Bombyx mori: one gene and its partners. The protein of the gene in region 1 interacts with the protein of each later gene in a biochemical or structural test. Links are inferred from orthologs where the notes say so. Each region holds a gene or a part of one and is shown in the gene's direction. Other genes may lie near its edges. The genes, in order: Cdc2, RpS3, CREB, lymphokine-activated killer T-cell-originated protein kinase and growth arrest and DNA damage-inducible protein GADD45 alpha.

Evidence for each region.
Region 2: of the proteins of Cdc2 (region 1) and RpS3, one has a biochemical effect on the other in vitro, tested with the Homo sapiens proteins (2 studies listed by BioGRID, with this or other methods). The link is inferred for Bombyx mori from reciprocal best matches to the Homo sapiens genes CDK1 and RPS3.
Region 3: of the proteins of Cdc2 (region 1) and CREB, one has a biochemical effect on the other in vitro, tested with the Homo sapiens proteins (2 studies listed by BioGRID). The link is inferred for Bombyx mori from reciprocal best matches to the Homo sapiens genes CDK1 and CREB1.
Region 4: the proteins of Cdc2 (region 1) and lymphokine-activated killer T-cell-originated protein kinase form a complex in vitro, tested with the Homo sapiens proteins (2 studies listed by BioGRID and IntAct, with this or other methods). The link is inferred for Bombyx mori from reciprocal best matches to the Homo sapiens genes CDK1 and PBK.
Region 5: the proteins of Cdc2 (region 1) and growth arrest and DNA damage-inducible protein GADD45 alpha form a complex in vitro, tested with the Homo sapiens proteins (5 studies listed by BioGRID). The link is inferred for Bombyx mori from reciprocal best matches to the Homo sapiens genes CDK1 and GADD45A.

Annotation. Positions count from the first base shown.
Region 1 is NC_085122.1:10,047,231-10,051,360, reverse strand, and holds the start of Cdc2 (cell division cycle 2), read left to right. Parts: upstream 1-1,323; 5' UTR 1,324-1,334; coding exon 1,335-1,483; intron 1,484-1,603; coding exon 1,604-1,748; intron 1,749-2,149; coding exon 2,150-2,284; intron 2,285-2,975; coding exon 2,976-3,085; intron 3,086-3,413; coding exon 3,414-3,527; intron 3,528-4,130. UniProt on the Homo sapiens protein: Plays a key role in the control of the eukaryotic cell cycle by modulating the centrosome cycle as well as mitotic onset; promotes G2-M transition via association with multiple interphase cyclins.
Region 2 is NC_085120.1:12,499,979-12,504,119, reverse strand, and holds the start of RpS3 (ribosomal protein S3), read left to right. Parts: upstream 1-1,341; 5' UTR 1,342-1,365; coding exon 1,366-1,398; intron 1,399-1,704; coding exon 1,705-2,008; intron 2,009-2,863; coding exon 2,864-3,084; intron 3,085-4,141. UniProt on the Homo sapiens protein: Component of the small ribosomal subunit. The ribosome is a large ribonucleoprotein complex responsible for the synthesis of proteins in the cell. Has endonuclease activity and plays a role in repair of damaged DNA.
Region 3 is NC_085116.1:8,893,063-8,897,335, forward strand, and holds the start of CREB (cAMP responsive element binding protein), read left to right. Parts: upstream 1-1,463; 5' UTR 1,464-1,522; intron 1,523-1,648; exon of another isoform or gene 1,649-1,761; 5' UTR 1,762-1,776; coding exon 1,777-1,929; intron 1,930-2,091; coding exon 2,092-2,241; intron 2,242-2,482; coding exon 2,483-2,648; intron 2,649-4,273.
Region 4 is NC_085116.1:697,783-701,910, forward strand, and holds the start of lymphokine-activated killer T-cell-originated protein kinase, read left to right. Parts: upstream 1-1,324; 5' UTR 1,325-1,440; coding exon 1,441-1,543; intron 1,544-1,618; coding exon 1,619-1,914; intron 1,915-2,525; coding exon 2,526-2,721; intron 2,722-2,919; coding exon 2,920-3,114; intron 3,115-3,497; coding exon 3,498-3,670; 3' UTR 3,671-4,128. UniProt on the Homo sapiens protein: Phosphorylates MAP kinase p38. Seems to be active only in mitosis. May also play a role in the activation of lymphoid cells.
Region 5 is NC_085134.1:418,467-422,025, reverse strand, and holds growth arrest and DNA damage-inducible protein GADD45 alpha, read left to right. Parts: upstream 1-1,236; 5' UTR 1,237-1,704; coding exon 1,705-1,766; intron 1,767-1,923; coding exon of another isoform or gene 1,924-1,971; exon of another isoform or gene 1,972-1,986; intron 1,987-2,042; coding exon 2,043-2,259; intron 2,260-2,471; coding exon 2,472-2,687; 3' UTR 2,688-3,051; downstream 3,052-3,559. Other genes in the region: electron transfer flavoprotein beta subunit lysine methyltransferase, read right to left, coding at 1,924-1,971. UniProt on the Homo sapiens protein: In T-cells, functions as a regulator of p38 MAPKs by inhibiting p88 phosphorylation and activity.

The DNA of each region.
Region 1 (4,130 bases):
CGCTCAAGGGCAAAAGTTTACATAGAGTTCAATTGAGAAACAGATTAAATTATCTGTAGAATTTGAGTATGATGAATTGCTCTCATTACCTCTCTCTGGCCGAAATCTTGGACCTTATTTTACCTTAACCCTTAAACTTTAAGGGTTAAATCAGACGGCATTTTAATAAAAGCAGTCGCGATCGGGAATCGAATAAAATTAAATCCGATATCAGTCTGGAAATACCAAAATCGGTTCAAATTTGTAGGTACCTAAAACAATTATACGACTAGCATTTTTAGAATTCAAAACAATAAAAGATTCTCATTTATTACTTTAAAGTACAGACTGTCGCTACAATAATGGCGGATATGAATGAAACACGGATATCGAGCAACGATTATTGGATATTTTGAAATCAGACTACCTAGTTAAGATATAAAATGTTATGCGATCCAATAAAAACATAAAACACGTTTGAGGTCTTAAAATGAGAGAAATGAGAAAAAAACGCGTTTATCGCGGATATAAAACAAGCTATAGCAAAAAAAATCTAAGCCTAATGTGATGCCTCGAAAAAAAGATCGATTGTGACTATTTATGACCTTAAATCAGATTGAAAACCATAAACAGTTATATTTAGTTAAGCTTTGTTTTCCACACATTAGGGTACCAACAGATTCATTTCTAGTGTTGCACGACGAAAACTACTGTAAAAATAATGTATCGTTGCTTTCCTGTGTAACTCTTAACAAAATAAATAAATTAATTAAACTAATATTTATATTTTACTTTGAAATGATTCAGTTTGCATTATTTAAAATAGACTAATGCTTACAACGTATGTATGTACGTCTTGCTTTTCAAATTAATCTCTCTTTGTTTGTCTATGATAATGTGTTCCGATACCATTCATAAAACATCAAGCTTTTTGATATGCATTTTTAGTGTTCTAGTACTATCTCATTCTAGCAACAACAATTTTGTCTATTGAAGTAGCACATTTATGCTATTCTAAGCGTTATTTAACTCTGAAACAAGTTAGTCATAAACAAAGCATAGACACATAAATTGACATAAATAGTCCACTTCGAAAATTTTCAAAAAGTTTTCGTTTGAAAGACGTTGAAGGGATAAACGTTAGAGATTGTAAAATAGTAAAACATTTAAAATATTTCCTAAAAAGAACAGAAGTGACTTGAATTAAGGATTACAGTCAAATGTTGAGACATTTATGAATTTAAAACACATAAAAATTATTAAAACACGCATTTTGTAGGAGTAAGAAAAATTGCATGGTGTTGTGATTTTTTTGTTGTGGTCTGCATAAAACCGCCAAAATTCCTTACTACAAGATGGATGATTTCTTAAAGATAGAAAAGATCGGCGAAGGTACTTACGGTGTCGTTTACAAAGGAAAAAACAAAATAACTGGTCAATTTGTAGCCATGAAAAAAATTCGCTTGGAGTCCGAAGACGAAGGCATACCATCCACGGCAATAAGGTAAACGACGTAAAATTGAATGAATTACTTGCACAAAAACAATTATATTAATTAAAAACACATTCTCATGCATTTGAGAACATAACCTATATTAACCAGAACTTCTTGAAAACATTTCAGAGAAATATCTCTACTTAAAGAACTGAACCACCCTAATATTGTCAAGTTGGAGGATGTCCTGATGGAAGAGTCGCGACTTTACTTAATCTTCGAATTCCTCTCTATGGACTTGAAGAAATATATGGACTCCCTTGGTTCTGGAAAGGTAACATAACCATGCCTTAAATTAAATTTTACAACAAACTATGACGCCTGTTTGAAGTGTGTCCACAATCATATAAATTGTAGTACAATGCTTAAAATATAAAAAATTGTTAATTAGGACTAGTTGCATCTTTGGAGTTTTTATTTCTGAAAAAAAAAAACTTTTTTGTTTAAATAAACTGCGAAGGTCTCCTGAGATAATGCGTCAGCAGTTGACCATGGCTGGGATTTGCCTCTAGAATTGCTGATTTCCGCAAGACCTAGATACAACTCACCATCAGGTGGGCCATCTATAAATGCAATAAATAAGTCACACAAGACAAGGCAAAGTAATTCTTAATGTTAAATTTTGTAACAGAGTAAATTTTTGTAAAAATATTGGTTATCATTATTTATTTTCAGTTCATGGACCCATCTGTAGTTAAGAGCTATCTATATCAAATCAACAATGCCATCTTGTACTGTCACCAACGACGGATCCTGCATCGAGATCTCAAACCACAGAACCTACTCATCGACAAGACTGGAATCATTAAAGTGAGAGTATTTTATGGTGATATTAATAATTGCAAAAAGATATTAAAAAGTGCTAAACAGTGAGTCTTGGGACCAGCAAGAACCCTCTCGATAATTCTAGACTACTGACAGCCTTTTTATCGTTTTAAAAAAAGTTGTAAATCAAAACCAGTAACATGAAACTATGGACGCTATATAGACCATGTATATTGGTGTTGATACTGACTGAACAGTGTCAGTGCTATTACTATAGGTCAATGTGAAGGCCTTTTTTTTCTACCTAACCTGATAGCCTTGAGAGGCTATATCAGCGTAACCTTAACTAATAGGTGAGCTCACGGGGCTCAAACCTGATGACGTTGCTAACACGAACCCTAGCAAGAGCCGTGCTTCGCAGAATCTACCACTGGATCAGAAACGCGACCCACTGAGAAGATCCGGCGAGAAACTCAGTGGGCTGTGTCTGAGGGTTAATTTACTCGTCGAGCCCTTCGTCGCAAGCGACGGGTTCGACGAGAACGATGATCGGTGCTTGAGGTACCTAAAAGTACTGTTAGTGGATCGGGAGGATCCGAAATGACGTGTGTGAAGGCCATGTCATAGTATATTTGTTCAAAATATAGTTTTACCAGTTTGAAAAGTCAAACACTGACATTAGACAATGGTCATATAGTTTTATTTTCTTCATAAATACCTAATAAATTTGTGACAGGTTGCAGATTTTGGTCTTGGTCGAGCATTCGGTGTTCCAGTGCGGGTCTACACACATGAAGTTGTCACATTGTGGTACAGGGCTCCTGAGGTCTTACTAGGAAGTCAAAGGTAAAATCTTATCCAAATCAGTCAAAACCAGCCACTACAAACTCCAATATAACTTTTCTATAATGAGTAATCAATACACATTAGTTGTAATTTGGCCCAATAATGAAATGTATTTTAGAAAAAACATTTTGTTTTAAGAGCTTTAGACTTTGTTTTCTAAAAAATGGCAAGTTGCATTGTAAATTCATAGAATAGTGTGGCAATACATTGCCACTAATTGTTTCTTAATACAAAAGAATGGTCAGTGACCGTGTGGAGTTCATTATTTGGTAGATTATTTATTTATTTATTATTTATTTTGTATAATAGTAACTTGTCTTACTTTTAGATACTCTTGTCCAATTGATATATGGTCAGTTGGCTGTATATTCTCTGAGATGTCATCAAAGAAGCCACTGTTTCAAGGAGACTCTGAAATTGATCAACTCTTCCGCATTTTCAGGTGAGTAGGCATTTCGCCATTTTAGTGGTAGGCTTTGGCTATGTATTTCTGAGGTCCATGAGCAACGGTGACCACTTACTGTGATGCTTGTCTGCCTTAGATTTATTAGAGTTAAATCTTAACAACAATAATTGAAAAAAAAAAGTTTTTTATGCTCCCTTCAACAATGGAATGTAACTGGTGCTTAGAATAAAACTCTAGTTTTGGATTAAAACACAGATTGAACACTAACTAAAATATGATGTGGACATTCAAGTTTTGGTTGTTTTTTTTGGGTGTGCAATTACTACAACAACACTTATATAACAGTTAATAAATTTTAAAAAAACCTGTTGTTGGGGTAATTAAATTATAATAATACTATTTCAACTTGATTGAGTGATTTCCTTCCAATAAAAGAATGAATATAATGAAATGTTTGACTTACATTTACAGGGCAGTAAATATGATTATAAATATGTAATTTTGAAGTATGTAGAAAGAAATAGAAGACTAGTTTACATATTGTTAGCCTCTAAAACTTCTGTTTATCCATTCCATTCCCGGATGTACCTCCACTTTCTTGCGACCTTGCTTATACCTGATATTAGCTTAAATAAAACA
Region 2 (4,141 bases), on another chromosome or scaffold:
AAGTCGTGGATATTTTGCCAGCCATTAACAGTTCACGGACGTTCCATGTTCCAATGCAATGTTCGTTACGAAGTGGTGGTTGCTCGATTTTCGTGTTCTTCTTCGCCTAGAATTACTTGTTATGGGGCCTGGCGTAGAACCCCGGTAGAAGCTTTGGAAACATATTTTAAACCGGCCGGCCCGGGTACCGGATGGTGCCGTATGTCAGTCGGATCGTCCGACGTAATTTATTTGATAGTTTTATTACAGATTCACATTTAATTTGAATTTTCGGGTGCTGCCTTTAGTTAACATTAATTATTCACAAAATATAAATTTAACCAACGACAGCTGTTAGTTTATACTTGTATATACTTGTTGTTGTCACAGTCGACTCCACACGTCCTTACGGATCCATCGGGCAGCTGTTAGCAAATCCCGCGCCTCCGTGAAACTTGAAAGGTCTCGGAGCCACAAGTAATCCTGCAGTCCTAAAAAAAGATTTAGCATGAATTTTCCAACCGGCTGCCAGCCTGGCGTCAATCCTCCTTGGGCTATATATTATTATATATATTAAAATATCCATTTAACCATTGCAAAGTGCCTTAGATGCTGTAGGAACGGACTTTTACGGTTTCTTTTTTTGTTTTTCCTTTTACTTCATCCGTTTTTTGTTCTAATGATACTTATTCAATATTATATTATATTATAATTTTCCAATACCAAAAGTTTAAAATATCTATATATCACAACTCAAATAAAACAAATACTTACTTGTATATCATCGTTGTTTCTTCTATCAATAAATATGGAAATGTGGCAGTAGCCATCATAGAACACAAAATATTTGATAGATATCTGAATTTCGCTATTGACATTTTGAATACATGCTTGCATTTAAATTAAACAAGCACCAAACAACAACATTAGGACAGTTGGAAAACCAAGCAATTTCACCCAGTTGTAAGTTGTAACTATACTGAGAACTTATATCTCAAGGTGGGTGGCACACTTACGTTGTACATGTCTATGGCCTCCAGTAACCACTTACCACCAGGTGGGCTTTAAGCTCGTTCACCCAACTAAGGAATAAAAAAATAATAAAAAAAACATTGCAACTTCAATCCTGTTTAAAAAACATGTGAAGAGTATTTGCTGCGCTATTGTATAACAAATCGCCTATCTAGTGAAACTAAAGTTAACCTAGTTTGAAAATCAACCAATAAATCGACTAAACCCACATTGTTATTTCATTTTGCATGTTTTATAACAAATTGAGTGTAGACTTAAAAACGATTACAGTTGACAGTTGACATTACTTGACATTGACGTTCTTGTTGTCATCAGCCATCGCCGTCCCTCTTTTTCTCGGCTCCCGTTGCAATCATGGCCGTGAACAATATTTCAAAGAAGCGAAAAGTACGTTTTATTTAGTGTTATACGCTGCAAAATATTTAGTTAAATTTATTTTTAAATACTCAACTGATTTACCAGTTCAGAAAATTCGTTTATTTAGCAAGTGTAATTTGTGATGTTAGTGGATATTTTCAGTTGTGATCAGCGGTGAAATAGTTTTCATCATTTTTTACACTAACATAGTTTTCTTCAGTGATTTTGGAGCCTTCTACATCACAAACAAATATCTCGATTTCATACAATGAACGAAGATAATATTCAAAAGCAGGAGCGACGTGCTAAAAACATAACCTCTTGATGTTTTTTCAGTTTGTTGGAGATGGAGTTTTCAAGGCGGAACTCAATGAGTTCCTCACTAGGGAGCTGGCCGAGGACGGCTACTCCGGCGTGGAAGTCCGGGTCACTCCCATCCGCTCGGAGATCATTATTATGGCCACCAGGACACAAAGTGTGCTCGGAGAGAAAGGACGCAGAATCCGTGAGCTGACTTCCGTAGTACAGAAGCGATTCAACATTCCAGAGCAATCTGTAGAATTGTATGCTGAAAAGGTGGCTACTCGTGGTCTTTGCGCTATCGCCCAGGCCGAATCTCTAAGATACAAGCTTATCGGAGGTTAGTATGTCTACATGGTTAAACTTGCATGAAAAGCACAGAAAAATTCTTTAACACACCAATTAATAAAAATAACATGTGTGGCTTATTTACAGATACTAAACCAAACATTAAATATCTATGTGTATGTATGCCCCACACCTGACACTTCAATTCAGAATAAGTTGATGTGTTTTTCGTTGAGGCTATATTAACATCCTCATATCATAATTGCATCAGCCTATTGCTATATGCTTGCATGTTATGCTGGTAACATTTAAATCTGAAAATAATTGTATAAAATGCATACTCATTTTAGAATCATTTGAAACAATTCATTCATCTAATTGTGCATAAATAATCCTATAACTATGCTCATGACATACATGATTCACAAAAAAAAACTTTCCTATTCATTAATTTTAAATGTAAATTGTTATGATGTGTAATCAAAAAGTCTATACCCAGCCTCTGCACAAGACACACTACTAATGGCTATTGTGTATATTAATTTTATTAAAAAATCTCATAATTATAGAATTGTAATAAATTAGCCACAAAGTTTGTGGAAGTCGATTGGCAATGTGTTGTTACACACATATGGCATTTAAAAATTGCTACCTGTCTGAAGAATATTCAAACTAAAACACCTTCAAGTCACATTGCATGCAAAAACTGCTTAGAAGCACCGGATCCTAACGTACAATAATGTAAATTAATCTCAAATTCTTTAGTTTTTAGAAAGATTACTCTTTACTCCTTATGTATGTTTTCAAGAATAGTTTCAATAATTTGTATTTATCATTCATGTATTTATCGTTTATTTCGATGCTGTATTTATCTTTATAAAAATTGTAATATCTACTGTAATCTCAGGTCTCGCTGTACGTCGTGCTTGCTATGGTGTTCTCCGTTTCATCATGGAATCTGGCGCCCGTGGTTGTGAAGTTGTTGTATCTGGCAAGCTGCGTGGTCAACGTGCCAAATCAATGAAGTTTGTAGATGGACTCATGATCCACTCTGGAGACCCTTGCAATGACTACGTCAACACTGCTACCAGACATGTGCTTCTCAGGCAAGGAGTACTAGGAATCAAGGTGAGAAACAGCTTACTGTTAATAAATTAAAATTTTGATAAATTTTCAATTATACCCTGTAAGATTAACCTAATCTACCATTTGTATAAACTGCTACAAATAAATAGAGTGAAGCCTGGTATAAAACCAAAAGGGTTGAAAATAAAAGTATAAGGTGTGTGTCTGAGATAGTATTATAAACTTCACCAAAGTCACCAATGTATGTTATTATGGTATTTGTTACCGTAGGTATCACTATGGTATTTGTTGAATTTAACTACCTTCGTAATTAACGTAGGCTAGACTCAACTAGGCTAAATTAAAATAGTATAATTGAGTCGTCTATTATCAAAGGTGGCAATCTGTGCATTTGGACAAAAAAATATTTTGATATGTCAATACAGATTGATTTGAATATAATCGTCTCCTTCAAAGAATACGGTTCAAAACCTGCATTAAATAAAGGTTAATAGTTAACCTGTTATTTATCTAAGATGTCGTTCCGAAGAGTTTTGTGACTGCCAATGGAATACAAAGTCAATAATTCGTTTTTCTGATTTACCAATATTGTTCAAAAGTCAGATTGCCGGCTTTGATAATAGACGACTCAATTACTGTTTTATTCCTGTTTAAATATTCATTTACAAAATTACTTCATCATAATGAAATATTTCTTCACACTAACTTCACCACTAGATTTCACTATAAAGGGACATTTTAAGAAACTCCTTTCAAAGCATCCTAAAAAGTCTAATGCACTTGAATAGTAATAGTCAAGGGTTTTATCTTTGAACTCAGCCATAGAGTTTTGTAATAAATACATCTTCGAATCTCAAAAATCTATCCTAGTTTAGTCTTAAATTAATAATCCACGCAATCAGGGATTGCAAGCACTCTCAGTGGCTTTTGATCTAATTTGCAGTGGAAGAGTATTCTGGCTTGTTTATTGAAGGGTCTTTTATATATTGGCTCTGTTACGGTGCAAACCAAACAATTTTAATGTCCACAGCTCTCAAACACTCAAGAAAACACTATTCTGATTATTAAACGTACCACCATCATAAAAATAGCTATTTTA
Region 3 (4,273 bases), on another chromosome or scaffold:
AGAATGGATATAGGTCGATAGTCGGAAAAGGATTTAGGGTTAGGTTTTTTTGGCAGAGGTATTATCTGTGCTTCTTTCCAAACAGAAGGAAACACACAGTTGGAAATTGAAAAATTAAGGATGTGGCAAAGAATAGGAAGCAGGATATCAACTAATGGGATGACCATATTACGACTTATACTATCTGTTCCGATAGCATTGGACGCTATAGAAAGGATACTCCTTCGAACATCACAAGCTGTGAATTGACGAAATTTAAAAGAAGAATGGTCAGGAGCGGTAATGTTAGAAAGAGAATTAATGGTAGATGACTTAACAACGTCATCTAATAAAGACGAAGAAGTAAAGAAAATGTTCATCTGATCAATGTTAATGTTTGTAGAATTACACTCTTGACGAGATTTACCAACTCCTAATGACCTTAGAAATTTCCAGACTTTTGCTGGATCCTCAACTTTAACGGAATCATGAATGTGACGTCTTTGAGCGTCTCTACACACCATATTGCAACGATTTCTGATCTTAACATAACGTGTTCGGTTAAACTCGGTTGGGCGCAACTTATACTTAGTCTTAGCCGCAGACTTCCTCCTCTTCAGATCTCTAATATGTTTATTTATTATTTAATATATTTAATTTATTTTTATTAATTATTTTTCATGTCTTGTTTTTAACTAGCTTATCCTTTTGTTTCCTTTTGATGACTTTGTCGCGGGTAGTTTCCCTACCTTTCACTTGAAACTGGCATAAAGTTAAAACTATTGCCATAAAGGAAAAAAAAAAAAAAAAAAAAAATATGTTTGATTTTGAGTTTTGTTTTGTGACAGTTACATTGAAAAAGTCGTGACACTTGCAATATGTGACACAATAAGAAGATACAATGTAGGCAAAAGTAGCTTGCATATGCAGCCACGTGACTGACGTCATCATATACCACATAGGATTTAGGGAGTATAAAATTGCTTCAACACAGAAAGTTACTCCCAAAGAGTATATAATCACTATAACTGGTTACTCCAAAATGGTGTTTTCTTTGGTTCATTATTTATTTTAAAATTCATTGATTATTTATGGACTAAGTTGTTTGCGAAATTTAAAAAAATATGGACAGTTAAAAATATTTTTTCTTGTACAATATTTTTAACATGCATAAATGTCGTGTAAGTGATGATAATCAAAAAACGAAAACAATGATTATGTACCTAGACATATTATGAACACAATTTTTTATTGTAATTTCAAAGTTTATAACATCCATTACTGACAGTTATTGTAAATTGAGAATTTTTAACGCATGCGCTATCCAGTTAAAGAATTCGGCCATATTGTGATGACGCATACAAGATCATAGGTCTCCGCCAGTGACGAGTCTTCTCGCAGTTGACGTGGCTACTACGTACCTTCCCGTTCACCCACTCCGGACGCAGCATAGACGGTGACGAGGAATACGTAACTGGTGAGTGCTTGTGAAGACTAAACTTGCGACCTGTCACGGTCGCATATATTTGGAATCGCAAATAATGTATGTTCCATATGATGATAAAATCACTCAAAATGTTCCAAACACAGAGATAATCTGTGTCATTTACATGAAACGCGTTGTTAAGAAATACCGCGTTTTGGCTATGACGTGATGATGCCGTTTTAGGATATCCCGTGAACAACCTTGCAACGATAGAGCCAAGCTAAACAAATTGGTTTTGCAATACGCATAAAAACCTAGTAATGAAGAATGCATAGAGAGTTGACCTTGAATTTTAGGTGACCTTAGTTGGCATGGAAGGGATGGTTGAAGAGAACGGCACCACAGGCGGTGCTGGCACGACGGATCCACTGGCCAGCGCGAGCTCTTCGACACCGGGTTCCACTCCTCATGTTGTCACCAGTATAGTACAACTTACTCTACCCAGTCAGGCTCCCTCTGCACAGGTGTGAATTCCATCTATATGTATTGTTGAGTGAATCAAATTAATATAAAATTTTAATATTATAGTTAAAAGGGGACCTTTTCAATAATATCAGTAAACTGTTTGTTTTGTTTACAAATATTAAGACTAGATAGTACATATAAATCATTTAAATTTTTTGCAGGTGCAGTCTGTTATTCAACCTAATCAACAATCAGTGATACAAACAGCATCCAATATCCAATCTGTACAGATACCAAAGGGAAATGTTATACTTGTTAGTAAACCCAGTTCTGTAATACACACTACGCAAGGGACATTACAAACGTTACAGGTAAATTAAATATTCTCTAATCTTTACAGTAATTCACTCAATAGTGTTGAGGAAAGCCATCATTGCCTAATTTTTTGGTTAGGATAAAAACATTTTTTGAAATCAAACTTTATAGCATATTTAATGACCAAAATAAGCAATAACTAGAGTATGGTTCAATTGTAAATTTTCATAAAATCATACTAAATATCTAAAACAGACAAAAGTTTCAAATTTTTTTTATTCCTATTTCTTATTTTAGATAAAACCAGAACCTAATACACTTGTGAATACACAAGGTCAGTCATGTAGTGATGAAAGCTGTGGCAGTGGTGATGAAAGTCCCAAACGTAAATATAGAGAAATGTTGACTAGACGTCCGTCTTATCGAAAAATTTTAAATGACCTTGGAGGAGCAGAAATTGCAGGTACAGTTTCTATGTTTACTGTTTTGGTGTATAATAAAGACTTGTGATAGATGTAGTGCTGTGCATTGTGCGAATAATAGTCTGCTCAATAATAAATTATGCAAACTTGATTCACCTAAATCAATCATTACATTTTTTGTCATTGGATCAGCTACCAATGTAATAATATGGAAAAAGCACTAATTTATCAAATGTATTGCTGTTAATAATACTGCAGTAGTAATGAAGATGCAATAATTATGATAACAATGTCATATTTTGTCTTTCAATAATAATCATAATTTGATCACAATGACTAAATATTTTTAATTAAAATTGGTTATTATCAATCAATATGCTACTAAATTGGCACAGTTAATTGTCGCTAGTACTAATGTTTCATAGCACCGAAAAAGCTAGTAGTAATATTTCTATACTAAGATGGGCCCACAACCCCTCTTTTTCAACCCATGTCCACTTAATACTGAGTGTAGTTCTCTTCACATGCACTCAATTCCCTTCAGTCTCTTGCCTTTCTCCATCTACATCCAGTACTTACTAGCTATTTTGACCATATCGTCAGTCCACCTCCTTGGTTGTCTGCTGACATTACTTTGCTCAAGGCCTACATATTATAAAACGACAACTGGAGCTCATAGAAACTGCAATGTGAATGAGATTGGATTATGATGTTCAATATTTTGCATTAATACAATGACCACCTTTGGTCAAACCGGACACATTATTATTTTTCACTAGAAATAGGTACAATACTGATACCCATGTGAGGGCTCATGGTATTCCAAATTTAAAATTAAAGAGGGTTTTATATGCTGTTTATTGATATCAGAAAAACCAAAGCCAGAACCAAGTCACTCCCACTGTGGAGCTCCAAGATATTACTTAAAGTGGTGGAAATTACTGGCAGTAGCTTAAAGATACCAATTCTTGTATTTAAGACGAAACTGATTTCTCTGACTTAAGATATCATTAGGCTTTTTATATATATTACAATCTAATTCTCTTATTATTATATATTTTGAGCCTGGCTAAATTCTTAATGCATTAAATTTGGAGGTGAGGTGAGGATTTAACTTCACTCATTAGTGGAGTTAGCACCTCTATTAATTGTTAATGTAGATAAAAAAAATACAATTACAAGTAAAATATAATAGTTTCGTTAATACTCTTTGTCAATTTCCACACATGTGTATGTACAGTATATAAAAAATAATATATGATCTACAAATTTTGTTCAGTAAGTTTTTAAATGTGAAGCTAACCAAAACGCTTGAAGTAAGCTGTAACCGTTTCTTCTTTTGCAATTGTTGGGCAATCGGTCAGTCCATTTAGACAACGATACTTTTCACTTTTATTGTGTCATTAATGAAATAATTTAAAAAAAACTCCTGAAAGACCAATAAATTGAAAACTTTAAATTTAATGTCATTCCATTTGTATCCAAAAATAAAACTTGAATAATTTGAGTTTAATAATTTTTACTTTCAAACATTACTCTGGTAGGAAATCTTGTTCATTAATACAACTTACAAATTTAACCAATTTAGCTCTCAAAATAAAAATAATTAACGAAATAATATCTTGATACTAAATAAAAATATCTTCATTGTATAAGTATGCAAGTT
Region 4 (4,128 bases), on another chromosome or scaffold:
CTAACAAGGTGTTCCACAAAACAGACAATTTCATCCAGTAAAATGCTTTCGAGAAGTCAAAAAAACAAACTTATGTTGAATAATCCCCCAAAGACTTAGTAAAAGACCGCATATGTCAAAAACTAGGCTACCCTTGGTATCCTATTAAATTATATTATATGGTGCCCCAAAAATAGCGCAAGACTTGAATTTGCCGCCATTGAAGATGCAGTAAATTTGTTGGCAGCTCTGAAAAAATAACATTTTGGTAGCTGAGAGTTTAATTTAATAATAATTATAAGATTTTAGAAGAAAATCATCATACGCCATAAATCATATTTTAACGTTCACCTCATGTGAGCTTTTCATTAATATTTGTATAAATTAAAAATTTAAGTTCGATTTCATCGAATAATTGATCGATTTAAGTTGATTGCGGTTGAACAATTTTTAAATTAATTTTCATTTAAATTTTAAATCATATCTACGATACGGCTTAACAGCACAGTATACAATAATTGTCATTCCTTTAAAATTCGAACTTTGACCCATAGATAATACACATAAATGCTTTGACCTTATATAAATGTAGTACTTTTTAAATGTAGGAATAAGTAAAAAAACGTTTCATTGATCCTGTCTGATCTTCAAAATAGTTTTGTATTTTGTCCTACAGTTACGATGGGCCGTACTGTGAGCAAGAGGTGCAAGCACAGTAAGACTATTAACTTCATTTTCTTTAATTAAAATTCATTTCTAAGCAGCAACGCACCTCCTAAAAAGCAACATAAGCTTTCGCTTGATTTTTTTTCTTGTTCGACAGTTTGATGCAACTTGGGGCTTAGAGTGACCGTGCTTCTCATTCTAGCCCAGCGCCGCATCTACTTACACCTGCCTGTCTTATCCATCTAATGTATAAAACTGTAATCAAATATTTTAATCGCAAGATTTACCGGCGATACTTTTTTTTAGAACAATAAAAAAAATCGAAATTGAAGAATAAGCTTACAATCGTTTGTTTAACGTAGAAGCAAATTTAAATCATTCGAGAAGCTTGGATAAAATACCTCTTTGGTGTCAAAATTGCATCTCGTTCTTGTAAGATTAATAAGTAGCCGGTAGAGGCATTTCTAACAGAACATTTTTTTAACTATGGCTTGAAATTTTTAAGTGACATAGTCCATAAATAAAATAAGGAGAAGCCAGCTAGGTCAGAAAGAATAGCTGTTGAATCGTAAAATAAATTGTTGTTCCTTCCTTTTTTCTAGGCTATTTGTGTAAGTCATCCTTCTGCTCGTTTTGTCATACTGTTGCTGTCAAAATTTGTAAATGTCAAGCTGTCAGAATGTCATAATTTTACCTACAATTTCAAATTTAAAAATTAAACCGTTGTTGTACTGTGGTGTCTTTTTCAAATTGGTGAAGTAAACATTTTAAAACTTAACCAAATTGAAATCAATCATGACCGAATTCCAAACGCCACAAAAGTCTATCAAATCTTTCGACAACGATAAAATAACTATACCACCATCACCGTTTTTAAATAAACTTGGTTATGGTACTGGTACGTAAACAATAAAACTTCAATAATTAATAATAGATTTACCTAGAATACTGTAAACTTCATTTTGTGTTTTAGGGGTGTCCGTTCTGCAATTAGTGAGGTCCCCGAGGGCAGGACTTATCCGATCACCGTGGGCTCTCAAAATGTTGAACAAACGAGTTAAACCAAATAAAGTATACACAGATCGACTGAAAACTGAGGCGGAACTGTTACAAAAAATGTCCCACCTTAACATAGTGGGTTTTAGGGCATTTAGTAAAGGCAAGATTCTATACTTGGGCATGGAAGCTTGTGATTTATCCTTGGGGGACTTGATCGAAAAAAGAGTAGATGATGATTGTACGCCCTTTTCACCAAGACAAATGTTGCAGGTAAACATTTAAAATTATTTAATCTACAGTCAAAGTTGTCTATTTTGATATTAAGAATGTTATTGTATTCTTTAAAAGTTCACAGTAATTTCATTATCCATGAGCTAAAAAGGTATTAGCAATGCTGCAATAGAATGATTTATATTTCAGAACTATTTTTCAGACCAGAAACTGAACAAAAATTAAATTAAAATTATATATTATAATGAGCAAAATTATAATTTGTGTAATTACTGATGGTAGGACCACAAGTGAGTGCACGGGTAGGTACCACCACCCCGCCTATTTCTGCCATAAAGCACTAAGTAATGCATTTCAGTTTGAAAGGTGGGGCAGCCATTGTAACTATACTAAGACCTTGGACTCATATCTTAAGGTGGCATTTATGTTGTAGACATATATGGGCTCTGGTAACCACTTAACACCAGGTGGGCTGTGAGCTCGTCCACCCAAATAAGCAATTAAAAAAATTATGTTCCAATCCCTTTATACAACTTATTGACTCTCAGCTTCCAAAAATGGTCTACAGTATACTTCTGTAGATTGTAAGATGACCAGTTACCTTGTTTTTACTTTTAATTATGTTTAGTCTCATTGGACCTTAATTTTAGGTGGCTGTAGACATCTCCAGTGCACTTGAATATCTTCATACGAAGATGCAAATTTTACATGGAGACATGAAATCTTACAACATATTAGTCAACGGTGATTTTGTGATATGTAAACTTTGTGACTTTGGAGTGACACTTCCTCTCGACGAAAATGGAATATTTGATAAGGAAAATGCTGGTGGAACTGTTTATTATGGTAATTTCTTTGACTAAATTATGTAGGTACCTATATAAGTTTTGTCTACAAGACAAACATTTTTTCAGTTCAGTAAAGATTCTACAAATTATTAAAATAAATTAGCGTAATTGAAAATCTACTTGATTTTGAATACAGAAGTAATACAATGTTTGATAACAAATAAATGTGTGACTAACAAAACACTATAAAACTCAGGTACAGAAGCATGGAGCGCACCTGAAGTAATTCACGGAGGGCAGATCAGTGACAAAACTGACATCTGGCCATTTGGTCTCACTCTGTGGGAGATGATGTCACTAATGCCACCTCACTCACAAATTGATGAGGACACCTTTGATATGAGCCTGGATGATCTTGACGAGAGTGGTTATGATTTCTCCGATCGATATGGTAAGCATACAAATGAATGTGCTAAAGTTAGATTGCTCTGAGTTGGATGTAAGGTTGTCCTAAAAATATTTATTTCAGTTTTTGTTTCTCATAATGATAATAAGTTAGTTGGATGATATATAGAAATAATTCGACCAATACAATGGCCAATATTTTAAAATATAAATTAGAATAAATACTGAATCAATTTTTGGAAAATCTATTTTATTTTCAAATTCTTTTCTTTTCTTCTACTTATTTTAAATTGATTTGAACACAATTTTTTTCTTATTATTTGTATACCATTCTCTACAGAAATAATTTCCCAATTAAAGATAATATAAAGACTTCTAAAAGAAGAAAATCATAATGTTTACTATTTTGATAATAAATTTGAATTACAGGCAGTCGTCCAGACGTCCCCGCCAACATATCGGAAGTAGAATACGCACAGCCGTTAACCCTGTTCTGCAGCTGTACTGAGAGCCGGCCGGCCGACCGCCCCCAGGCCGCGCAGCTCGCGGCGGCCGCCCGGGCCATGGCAGCGGCATTACTTCATAACACATCATGTCAATAGGTTTCTATAAGGAATTCACATTATCTTACCTGCTACATCTAACATGTAATTTAGAAATTTTGTGTATTTGAACTCATCGCGGCCTAAAGACAATAGAGAGAGAGAGAGAGAGAATACACTTTATTGCACACCAAAACACAATTTACATTCAAAAAAACAATCAAAAAACAGATAAATTTGTACAATAGGCGGTCTTATCGCTAAAAGCGATCTCTTCCAGACAACCGTATAATTTATAGAAATTCTGGAAAATATAAAAAAATATAGCAGGTATGTTGCGGTGTACTATAGTTAATACATTATAGAAAATATATACATATAATAACAAAATATATACCGTTTACATATAATATGAAATATATACTTATTATTATATACCAATATATATGCATGCAATAGGCATGATATCTCCACATAGTCTTCCAATGTGAAGACGGAACCACTCCATACTGACAGAC
Region 5 (3,559 bases), on another chromosome or scaffold:
TGTTTGTTTCTAACAGACGTGAAAAACAAACTCACTTTTGCATACAATTTGACTGCTTTGGATACACTAGAAATCATTTACGTTGCTGATGTCCATGGGCTCCGGTAACCACTTAACACTACGTGGGCCACGAGGTCATTGACCCTGCTAAGCAAAAAAATAAGAAAGAGTCGCTCTCACGTTCGACACTAACATCTCATGTGCTATAGAAAGTAAAAACTTCAAAAAAACACGGTTTTTTTAATTTACGTTTGAGGTAAAAAAATAAGTAGCTAATGATATACTCAAACTAACGTATTTATATGAATGTCTTCCTCCTCGCTCTGATGCAGGTAATGGAATTGTGGTGGAGACTATTAAAATACATCGACTTCTGAAGTTGGGTAGGTAGGTACAAGGATAGTAGTAACATTTTCACTGGACTTTTTGGCGGGAACGCGAGCAGTGAAGTTGTGTGATTTGTTTTATTTTGTCTATTTAGTGTTTCTTCAGGTTTAAATGTGTAATAACGGTGGTTTATTAAATGTTTAATATCTGTGAAAGTGCACCAATGTGGGAAAATGAAACAAAGCTGCTGGACGTAACTTCTCGGGTTCCTCCAAAAAGTCCACTGAAAAAATCTCAGTAAATGACCACCATTTTACTGCGATTATATTTCATCCCATATCATCTCATTTCATTAAATTTCATCCCAGTTGATTAATGTCTCAAATTAATCATCTTCATTTCATTTCACTCCATATTATCATTTTTCATAAAATTAAGAATATAAAGTAAAATAAGACATGACTTAAAGGTCTTAGTTACCAGGTCATAAAATCTCTTAAAAAAAAAAAAAACATTTTCACTACCTGCCCATAACTTCAAATAAATTCTATCCTGTCGTAACACTAGAAGAAATGCCCATTAGAAGTTTTCTCATCTTGCCGTCATGGCTCTACAATAAATATACTAAAGTCCTTGTACCTATTGAAAACGAATGTTTCATTACAAATAAAAAAACAACTAAACCAGAATCAAACCCAATTTTTGTTTTCAAATGAACCATATTTCCTCTGTTGAAATAAAAACCCAATGTAGCGGGAATTCCGATATTCTCCAATGCGCTTAACGATAACAAAAAATACCTTGACCTACCGTTCTGATAGTACCTACCCTTTTCTGGCCGCATTTACTTCAAAAAAGAAGAACGGGGTAGCTCCAACTAAATTGGTCCTTAAACAAGTCGCGACAAGCCACGCGTTCGCATTTCAGAAAAAACCACTCACACACACGTACCACGTGCCACGTATCATTATTATTATCTCGTATATACACTTACAGACTTACACTAGTTAAAACGACTCACACAACCGAAAATACAAGCGTTTTTCGAAGAAACTCCGACGAAACTGATCGGAGGATACGCACACATACAAATACTAGCGTGCGCATGCGCGGCCTTTCCAATAAAAGGGAACGCTACGTCACTTCTCCACATTCTACATTGAACATCCAAAGTGTACTAACGCGAGTTTCGTTAGCAAAGTTGTGAAATTATTGTGTCACAAGTTCGAATTACTGCGAGAAGTTCAAGTGTGTTTACATAATAGAAGGATTTTATGTAAAGTGTTAGTGCTTTCTGTGAAAATTCACATTCGGATTTCACTGCGGAGTTTGGAAATTAGTGAAATTCAAGAGTTAAGAAGCATTCGTCTATCCAAAATGTACAAGGAAGCAGTTGTTCCAGTAAAAGCCGAGACCTTCAGTGTCATAGCAGCTAAAAGGTAAATAAATATCTTAATACTTTACAGCTACAACAGGAAAAATTCAATATGCATAAACTAAAATGAATATTTCACAAGAATTTCACTTGACCTAGATCAAAGAACTTTAAAGTTCTAATAACTTCAAACATGCCAATTAGACTATAAATTGACGTACCTTATGCTTTTGATAATAATATTTTGTTTGTAGTATGGCGGTTAGCATCTCCGTTTGACATGCAAGAGACTAAAGTTTTTGGTAACATATAATTTATTAATGTATTTGTTTTCCCACAGCTCTATCGGACAATGTATCAAGACAGTGTTAAGGCGAGCCTGTGTCGAAAAAAGGTTAACTATTGGCTTACTTCCCGCCATTCAATACTTATCGAAGAACTGCAATGGTGCATTGTTTTGCCTGACCGCCGAAGCCCCGCCTGGCGATAGTGCAACGCATATGCAAGATGTCCTCCTGCAAGCATTTTGCGTTGAAAATGATATTCATGTTATTAAAGTGAGTTTCATTTTATTTCCTTCTTCATAAAATGAATTATACATAGTTATTATTAATTTTATATGACAATTTAGTTTCCACGAAGTAAAAAAAGTCATTAAAATTTCCGACTCTCTAACAAGAACCTATTAATCGAATTTATAACGATTCAAGGAATTAAGTTAAAAGGAATCAAAATAAAAAAGCTAACAAATTCGTTTCTTTGTACACAGGTCGATTGTGAGACTAAGCTGAGGAGAATGCTTGGTTACTGCTCTCCCATGGACTTCAGTTGCGTGCTGGTACACTATCCGTATACAGATCCATTCACAGACAGTCAAGAAATAGATTTATCAACATTATCTGAAGCCGAGAGACAGTTGATCGACCACTGCGAATCAGACTGGGGCTATTCACAAATGCCCGTCATCAAGTTGCCCGAGAAGTGAATTAAACATGAGGATATTATTGTGAAAAGAAAATTTTGCGATATTATTTTTCAAGTAGGTCGCCATTTTGGCTTAGGCACAACGCCATCTGTTGTTTGGTAGTTGCATTAAGTCTGCTTGAGAATGTTTTGGGGTTTGTTTTGAATTAAAATAATTTAAAAATTGATAGAGAGCAATTTGTAAAATGTAGGTGCTAAACTGCTACTGTCTTAAAATGTAAAAGTGTTTTTTTCATTGTTTCATAAGATAGTTTAATGTAACGAAAAATGTATTTATTATATCTTTATACCAATTTCGTAATAAATCTTTTGTAAAAGTTAAAACATAATAAACATGAATAAAATTTTATTTTATTTGTAACAAAGTTTCTTTTTTTCCCGCTTTTTCCCCTAAATATAATCTTAAGTTAAAAAGAAAAAGATTCCAGAAAGAAGCACAAGCAAGATAGATACCCATGATATTGAACTGTCAATAATATCAGGACAATAAATTTAGATAAACAATTTAAATAATTAATTTATGGTAGGAGCATCGTATAATGGAATTTTAATAAAAAATATGCTTAAGGTTCATCAGAAATTGAAATTTAGTATTTGCTGGAATTCTTGTATTTATCTATACTTCATAATATTACAAATCTGAAGTTTGTTTGTTTGAACACGCTAATCTCAGGAAATATTAATTGGTCCGATTTGAAAAATTATTTGTGTTAAAGATAACCCATTTATTGAGGAAGACGGCTATATAACATCTCTCTAAGACAAGTGGAGCACCAATAAAGAATGTTTCAAAATAGGGGTTTACATAGCTCCTTAACATTCTATAATTCAAAAATATTTTCACTTTCTATGTAAATGAAGTAGATGTAAAAT